2 linked regions of the Oryzias latipes genome follow. Each later gene encodes a partner of the first gene's protein in a complex. Links are inferred from orthologs where the notes say so. Each region holds a gene or a part of one and is shown on either strand. Other genes may lie near its edges. The genes, in order: lrp6 and sost.

Region 1 (3,806 bases):
AGACTTAAACTGCTTTCCAAATAAATGACCAGGAATAAAATCCATGAACTAAAGTGCATCTAAAAGTAAAACATCTTTGTGAACAACACGTGTCTGTGTCGGTATCCTCGTACGCTGGGGACCGAACTGCCATCAAACAAAACAGAAGAAGAAGAAAACGAGCACATGGTGGGGCAGGCCAGCCCTGGTAACTGCACATGTGCAGTAAGGACCGAGCCTGACTTTGTGACATTTTAGTTTCTGTTTCCTGGCCAACGCTGAGATTGCTAAGATCTGAGGAGAGGGTCTGTGAAATGCTCCCAGCAGGAGGGGCCGTGTAACATGGGGGGGGTCTGTGTCTGCAGCCGAGTGACGTGGGGGGGTCTGTGTCTGCAGCCGAGTGACGTGGGGGGGTCTGTGTCTGCAGCCGAGTGACGTGGGGGGGGTCTGTGTCTGCAGCCGAGTGACGTGGGGGGGTCTGTGTCTGCAGCCGTGTAACGTGGGGGGGTCTGTGTCTGCAGCCGAGTGACGTGGGGGGGTCTGTGTCTGCAGCCGAGTGACGTGGGGGGGGTCTGTGTCTGCAGCCGAGTGACGTGGGGGGGTCTGTGTCTGCAGCCGAGTGACGTGGGGGGGTCTGTGTCTGCAGCCGAGTGACGTGGGGGGGTCTGTGTCTGCAGCCGAGTGACGTGGGGGGGTCTGTGTCTGCAGCCGAGTGATGTGGGGGGGGGTCTGTGTCTGCAGCCGAGTGATGTGGGGGGGTCTGTGTCTGCAGCCGAGTGACGTGGGGGGGTCTGTGTCTGCAGCCGAGTGATGTGGGGGGGGGTCTGTGTCTGCAGCCGAGTGATGTGGGGGGGGTCTGTGTCTGCAGCCGAGTGACATGGGGGGGTCTGTGTCTGCAGCCGAGTGACGTGGGGGGGGGTCTGTGTCTGCAGCCGAGTGACGTGGGGGGGGGTCTGTGTCTGCAGCCGAGTGACGTGGGGGGGTCTGTGTCTGCAGCCGAGTGACGTGGGGGGGGTCTGTGTCTGCAGCCGAGTGACGTGGGGGGGTCTGTGTCTGCAGCCGAGTGACGTGGGGGGGGTCTGTGTCTGCAGCCGAGTGACGTGGGGGGGTCTGTGTCTGCAGCCGAGTGATGTGGGGGGGGTCTGTGTCTGCAGCCGAGTGATGTGGGGGGGGTCTGTGTCTGCAGCCGAGTGACGTGGGGGGGTCTGTGTCTGCAGCCGAGTGACGTGGGGGGGTCTGTGTCTGCAGCCGAGTGACGTGGGGGGGTCTGTGTCTGCAGCCGAGTGACGTGGGGGGGTCTGTGTCTGCAGCCGAGTGACGTGGGGGGGTCTGTGTCTGCAGCCGAGTGACGTGGGGGGGTCTGTGTCTGCAGCCGAGTGATGTGGGGGGGGTCTGTGTCTGCAGCCGAGTGATGTGGGGGGGGTCTGTGTCTGCAGCGGTCAACAGTCCCTGCTCCCGGGACAATGGCGGATGCTCCCACCTGTGCCTGCTGGCGCCGTCCAGCCCCTTCTTCCGGTGCGCCTGTCCCACCGGCGTGCAGCTGCTGGAGGACGGGAGGACCTGCAGAGACGGTGAGGGGGGGTCATCTTCTCTGTGTGTGTGGGGGGGTCGATTGAAATGTTTGTGCTAATCGTTTGACCCACAGGTTGTTTGTGGTTTCATGGATGTTCTGCTACTGGGTTCTGTTTGACCCAAACTCTCATTTGGGTCAAAGGCTGAAACATTTGTGTTTAAATCTCCACATTTGGAGCGTTTTCTTGTTGACAGCTGACCTCCTCCTCTTCCTCTGCCGCCTCCTTGTCGCCGTCCTCCTCCACCTCCCCAGGTGCGACCCAGATGCTGCTGCTGGCTCGGCGGACCGACCTGCGGCAGATCTCTCTGGACACGCCAGACTTTACGGACGTGGTGCTGCAGGTGGAAGACATCCGTCACGCCATCGCCATCGACTACGACCCCGTGGAGGGTTACCTGTACTGGACGGATGACGATGTGAAGGCCATCCGTCGCTCGCGGCTGGACGGCAGCGACGCCCAGTTTATCGTCACGTCTCAGGTGAGCCATCCTGACGGCATCGCGGTGGACTGGATCGCCCGGAACCTGTACTGGACCGACACCGGGACCGACCGCATCGAGGTGACTCGTCTTAACGGCACCATGCGCAAGATCTTGATCTCCGAGGACCTGGACGAGCCCAGAGCCATCGTTCTGGACCCTGTGGCTGGGTGAGTCCAAGACTTGGATGGGGTCTGGCTTTGATGTGGGTCAGAGTTTTACTGTCGGCGATGAAGCAGGGCAGATGTTCTCCTTTAGGTCAGATGGTGAACAACCAAAGTGTTTCGTCGTTTGGAGGGACATTTTAAAGCAAAACCAGTTTCAATGATGTGAGGATCTGAGGCAGCCCGGTTCTGTGTCACAGATACATGTACTGGACCGACTGGGGCGAGGTGCCGAAGATCGAGCGGGCCGATCTGGACGGGATGGAGCGGGTGGTGATGGTGAACACCTCCCTGGGCTGGCCCAACGGCCTCGCGCTCGACTACCACGAAGGGAGGATGTACTGGGGGGACGCCAAGACGGACAAGATCGAGGTGAGACGTCGCTCTGCCGGCCCGCTCAGGTCCAGGTAACGCCCACGCTGGCTCTCACACCTGAGGGTGAGACAGAAATGAAGGACGGGTGTGGAGTTCTGAGAGAGAAACAACTAAACAGGTTCTAGTAGCTGGGAACGCTGCTCAGGCCTCAGGAAGTTCTGAAGGTTTTTGGAACGCTTCTCCGATCCCTGGGTTCTCCGATCCCTGGGTTCTCCGACCCCTGTTCTCCGATCCCTGGGTTCTCCGATCCCTGGGTTCTCCGATCCCTGGGTTCTCCGATCCCTGGGTTCTCCGATCCCTGGGTTCTCCGACCCCTGTTCTCCGACCCCTGGGTTCTCCGATCCCTGGGTTCTCCGATCCCTGGGTTCTCCGATCCCTGGGTTCTCTGATCCCTGGGTTCTCCGATCCCTGGGTTCTCTCCTCCGTCCTTCAAAAACCCGTTTCTCTTGTTTGCTCTCAAACGGTACAGAACAGTTTCAGTCCCAAACTGGAGCGGGTCAGCAGAGGTTCTGTCTGAATGTGGACCACGTCTATAGTGAGTCGGGTCTGACAGTTTGCTGCTCCTGGTTTTACCGCTCGGCTTCCCTCCGGGGGCTGCAGGGCCCCTTCTTTGGCCCCCGTCAGAGGGGCCTCTGCTGGCCTCCTCCCCCCTCTGTTCCTCAGCGGACCCAGTTCTCCTGGTGAAGGCCCACATCTGGTTCTGATTGCGGCGTGCGCTGCAGCTGCGGTGGGCCCTGTTTAGACCAGAATGTGAAAGCCGCCCTGCGGTCCGCGTCCAAACCAGCGGAGACCTTCTGGCTGAAGCTCCCGGGATGGAAACTGCGTCTTAGATTTACCCACCGCCTTCCTGATGCTTTCAGGGTGGGGGCGACCACACGGGGCCGTCCTGGCGGCAGCCAATGGCGCAGCTCCACGCGGCGCGGATGGGGAACGGGGGCCGTGCCGATTCCAGGCCTGGCTGGTCTCTTCTGCAGATTCCTGACATTTTTCATGGCTGGCTGTGCTTCAGCTCCGATCAGATCAGACCGCCAGCTCTGGGTCTGAGGCTGTCGCCCGCTGGAGCCCGATACCGTCAGGAATGCAGGTGTTTTCATTCCTGGCGTGTTCAGGTGATTACAGGGGACCGGGGTCACCAGGCCCCTCCCAGCACAGACGCGTTTTTGTCAGAGCGCCTCGCAACTTTTTCTGCCGCTGCTTCTCACTTCTGGAGATTTTCTCCAAGTGTTTTTGTGGAAA
Region 2 (4,359 bases), on another chromosome or scaffold:
AAATGACACACTGAAACCATTAAATATTGTGTTTTTCAAAAGAGGTATCATTTATTGCTTGAAAGAGAGTGAAAGGAAGTAAATTATACAACCCCACTCTGATTATGTTTAACCTAACTTTTTCTTTTTTCTTTTTTACACAAGTTATCTTTATCCAGTTCTGAATTTCTGATATACCAAATTGCAGATCATTAAAAAAACCTTGAGCAATAATAAAATCAAATTACAAAATGATGTACATAATATTGATGTAAGAAGACATTACAGTATTTTAGAAATCACTAGGAGAAATAAGATCAATGTTGGAGAGCAAAGTATTTTTGAATATATACAGTTTTATGGGTCTTTAAAAAAACATTTTTTATTTTAGATTCTTATCGCTGAATGTGGCCTTAACAGTATCCAGGCTTCAGCGACCCTAAAAGGGGTTCAGCGGGTTAAAAAGATGGATGGGTCAGTGGATGTTTGTTCTTCTGGACAAAACGAAATAAGAACAACATCAACATGGGATTCTAACCATAAAAAAGGTTGGTGTTAACCAGATTTCCAGTGTATTACAGAGATTTTTCCGCTCACTTTTTGTTTTTGAACAGAGTATGATTCACTAACATATTAGCATTGTTTGTTTGATAAAATCAGGGAGGATTTTCCATAAACTCTGGCTTTCAAACTGAAGCCTAATTACTTTTCCTGTACTTCATGAACAGGAATTGGACCTGACACTTATGGAGTGGTTCCGAAGAGGGGGATTTCCTGTTGATTGATCCTAATCATTCATTACTAACATTACAAGCTGATTTTTGGCTCATCCTTTTGAGACAGAATTTAATCCATGACATGAATAAACTCAAACTTCCCTTTTTAAAAGTCAGAACTTTAGAACCTTATGATTGATCAAGTTTTGTCCTGGACTGCCTTGCAAAACAGCAGAGTGATGCTAACGAGCCTGAATGTCCTTCCCAAGGCTCTCCCTCAAGAGGGCAGTGTTTGAATGAGATAGCCTCCATCTGTCAGCAGGCATCACATCACAGGGGCGTGAGGGCTGCCAAGCAGCTTTAATTCACAAATTCCAAACAGATATGGAGATATAGAATATCAGATTCTCGTGAAAAGCCTCTGCTAAACTCAGATTTGGTAAACAGACACTTGGTGATGTATTTTCTATTCATGCAGACAGTCCTGATGATGCTGAGAGTCGCTGATGAAGGGTCATTCACACGTCATGAATAATTCATTTGAGTGTGGTCCTTTCCTCAAACATACAGGATCTGATTCCTACACCCCCTTTTCCCTCCCTAGGAAAGATGCCTTCAGAAAGTCGTCATAGTATAGTTGCTGCACCCCCCCCCCCCAACACTTATGTGCGCACTAATTGCGTCACTTGGATTAAGTCAGCTCTCCTCTCTGTCACTCCACCACAACTCTCGTTTCCACTCCTCTCACCTCCTCTTTTCATCTTCTCTGACCTTCATGGTCTCATTCCTTCACTCTTTTTCATGTCTACCTTCCTCTCTCCCCCCATTCACAATGAATCCCTCATCCAGGTTCGACTCCTCCCACTCCGTGTCAGCGCGTAATTGTGCGCTCTGACCGCAAAGTTGGCTTTAAATAGCGCGTCTCGCTTTGGAGAAGGACTCCTCCGTTCCTGCGCGTTCCTGTATTTTTGCTTTTATTTATTTACATTTTTCCCGTCTGCATTTTCTGTAAAAATTTACTCCTGTGTTGAGGTCCATCTGTGCCCCGACAAGCATGCAGGTGTTCGCGGCGCTGCTGCTCTGCAGCTCGGCGCTGCTGCTGCTGCAGGGATGCTGCGCAGCCGCCAAGGGATGGCGGGGAATCAGGAATGATGCTACCGAGCTTTTACCGGACTATGGGCAAAACACGGGCGCGCCGCACGAGGCCATTCTGCACGCAGCCAACAAGAACAACAACAACAGTAACAACACTTTGAATAACAGGGCGAAAAACGGTGGAAGGACTGCAAACACAGTTTCATATAGTAAGTGTCCTTTTAATATTTAAATATTACATCAATTACCTATTTGGGCAAACTTTGTAGAAAAATGTGGTGAAGATAAGCACATGGGTGATTACTAATCCAATCCGCAATTCTAAACAAATATTTTTCCTCTTAAAAGACAGATTTTTAACAAAACACTTTAAAAAACTACTTAAAGAAATTCAACTTTTTTAGTCTATCAAATCTCTAAATAACTGAATAAATATTTTTAAATTGATTGCCAGGATTAGACTCAAGGCTGTCCAGCAGACTGGCTTTTTGTCATTTCCAAATTCAACCTGCTTCCCTTTCAGTATAGGAGCTGATGTGTGTGAGAGTGTGTATTGTTAAATACACTGATGGGGGGGGGGGGGGGGGGGATGATCAGATGCACATTCTTGTGGTTCCTTCCCCAATTCTGTACCCCCCCCCCCCCCCCCCTTCCCAGGTTGTTTCCTTCTGTCTTTATACTATTAGTCAAGCCCTACTTACGCCATAACCATTTGATTGCAACAACATGTTTCCCAAAGCCCTGCAGTTTGCTGTCTTTTTTTTCGGGGGGGGGGGGGGGGGGGGGGTTGTCTTTAGGAGGGTTTTTTAAATAGCTTTTAAAGTACAATCATTTGAGAAGGATTCCCACCTTTGGACAGTATTCCCAGCATGTTATGATTGAGAAGGCCGGATAATGTGATTTAAGATGGGGGGGTGGGGTCATTTTTCCCCCCCTAACAAATAGTATGATTGATTATATTAACAGGAAAACTGATTTCACTAAAGTGAGAGCAATTCTTGAATTTCAAGATGAAAAGATGAGTTGATTTCAACAGGTTGTTGTTTAGGAATATGCAGCACATGTTGGGCTTGGTGGAGAAAAAGCTCTCAGATTATTTCCATCGTGTGGCTTTTGGTCGGGACAGCTCCTCCCTGATCTTTGTGGGGTCACAGCACAGGCTTTGAGACCACAGCCTGGCTTCACTCCAATCCTCTCCCTAGGCTCATCTTTCACTGCCGAGGGGGGTGGGAGAACAAAAATCCACTCACGCAACCGTACATCAGGCCGCCTTTGTTTGAGAGGAGAATAGCAACCGTGCGGTTGGAGAAAGGCGGTGATGTGACAAAACCACCTGACAGGTATTTGTTGCAAAGTGCTGCCAAGGGATCTTTTTTGAAACTGCTCTGGTCCTTGCAGCAGTCGATGGAGAAAAACACCAGATCATATTCTACTGGTTAGAAAAAACCCAACAAAAAACAGGAAAGTCACCTCACATCCATCCTTTGTTCGGGTCTTTATTTTTGGCAAGGAAGGCCACAAAGGAAAACAGATCCCTTTCTGAGTGTGTCATTTCTTAACCAACAATTCCTCCTTTTTATTTTGTGCACACAGCCTGTAAAGAAACACTAGGCAGTGATTCCTGCCTGTTGAAAATGCAGGATTACAAGCTGAGTGTCTCCAATCTGCCGGGCTGATGTCCAAGTTGTGCTGCTCTAAAACAACCAGACTGTCATTTAGTCCTCCGTCACCGCAAACACTTCCTGAGGTCCGGTGCAGGATGCCAGCTTTTTCATCCAAGCCAAACCTCAGTTTGCTTTGATTGGTGTGTTTAATGGCCTTCTGGTCTGGATTTGTTATTTGCTTATTGCTGCCAGTTGCCCTTCTTTATCAAGTAAAAATGATTTGAGTCAAATAGACCTGATTTTGTTTGTTTATTTGTCGATATTTCAGGTCTGGATTTCAGTTGAATGTGTTGGATTTTTTTTTTTTTTTCAGTTGATAGAAATAGAACCGGACAAATGACTGGAAGGAGACCCAGCTGCTGTAAAGAAGCAGTTGACCCACAGATTGATGGTCCCCCTCTGTGTTTCTTTTGGGTTCAGTCCATGTGCATTAACTGCGCTCTCTCCCCCCCCCAGGTGCTTCAGAGCTGAGCTGCAGGGAGCTGCGCTCCACCCGCTACATTACCGACGGATCCTGCCGCAGCGCCAAGCCTGTCAAGGAGCTGGTGTGCTCGGGTCAGTGCCTTCCCGCTTACCTCATGCCGAACTCAATCATCCGTGGAAAGTGGTGGAGGAGCAGCGCTTCAGATTACCGCTGTGTCCCGGCGCACTCCCGCGCACGGAGGGTCCAGCTGCAGTGTCCCAACGGCAACACTCGGACTTACAAAATCCGGGTGGTGACCTCCTGTAAGTGCAAGCGCTTCAGGCCTCACCACAACCAATCGGAAGCCAAGGAGCTGCCAAAGACGCAACGCAACAAGAAGCCCGGCCGCTTGGCTAAAGATCGGAGCAAGAATAGTACTCCACTCACGGGAAACTCGTACTGAACTGAGCAGAGACCAAAGAACTCCGACACACGTCACCCA

Evidence for each region.
Region 2: the proteins of lrp6 (region 1) and sost are in contact, whole or in part, in a crystal structure (PDB 6L6R), measured with the Homo sapiens proteins. The link is inferred for Oryzias latipes from reciprocal best matches to the Homo sapiens genes LRP6 and SOST. Residues at the interface, in NP_001401174.1 of Homo sapiens: Arg28, Asp52, Val70, Ser71, Glu73, Leu95, Ser96, Asp98, Glu115, Arg141, Trp157, Trp183, Asn185, Ala201, His226, Phe228, Trp242, Met269, Arg336, His361, Asp379, His404, Asp406, Thr422, Glu447, Arg449, Trp465, Trp491, Asn493, His534; in NP_079513.1 of Homo sapiens: Leu115, Pro116, Asn117, Ala118, Ile119, Gly120, Arg121, Arg169, Thr171, Arg172, His174, Asn175, Gln176, Ser177.

The regions. Positions count from the first base shown.
Region 1 is NC_019881.2:23,647,189-23,650,994, reverse strand, and holds part of lrp6 (low-density lipoprotein receptor-related protein 6), read left to right. Parts: intron 1-1,415; coding exon 1,416-1,550; intron 1,551-1,804; coding exon 1,805-2,201; intron 2,202-2,395; coding exon 2,396-2,567; intron 2,568-3,806. UniProt on the Homo sapiens protein: Component of the Wnt-Fzd-LRP5-LRP6 complex that triggers beta-catenin signaling through inducing aggregation of receptor-ligand complexes into ribosome-sized signalosomes.
Region 2 is NC_019877.2:17,915,457-17,919,815, forward strand, and holds the start of sost (sclerostin), read left to right. Parts: upstream 1-1,419; 5' UTR 1,420-1,749; coding exon 1,750-1,999; intron 2,000-3,910; coding exon 3,911-4,320; 3' UTR 4,321-4,359. UniProt on the Homo sapiens protein: Negative regulator of bone growth that acts through inhibition of Wnt signaling and bone formation.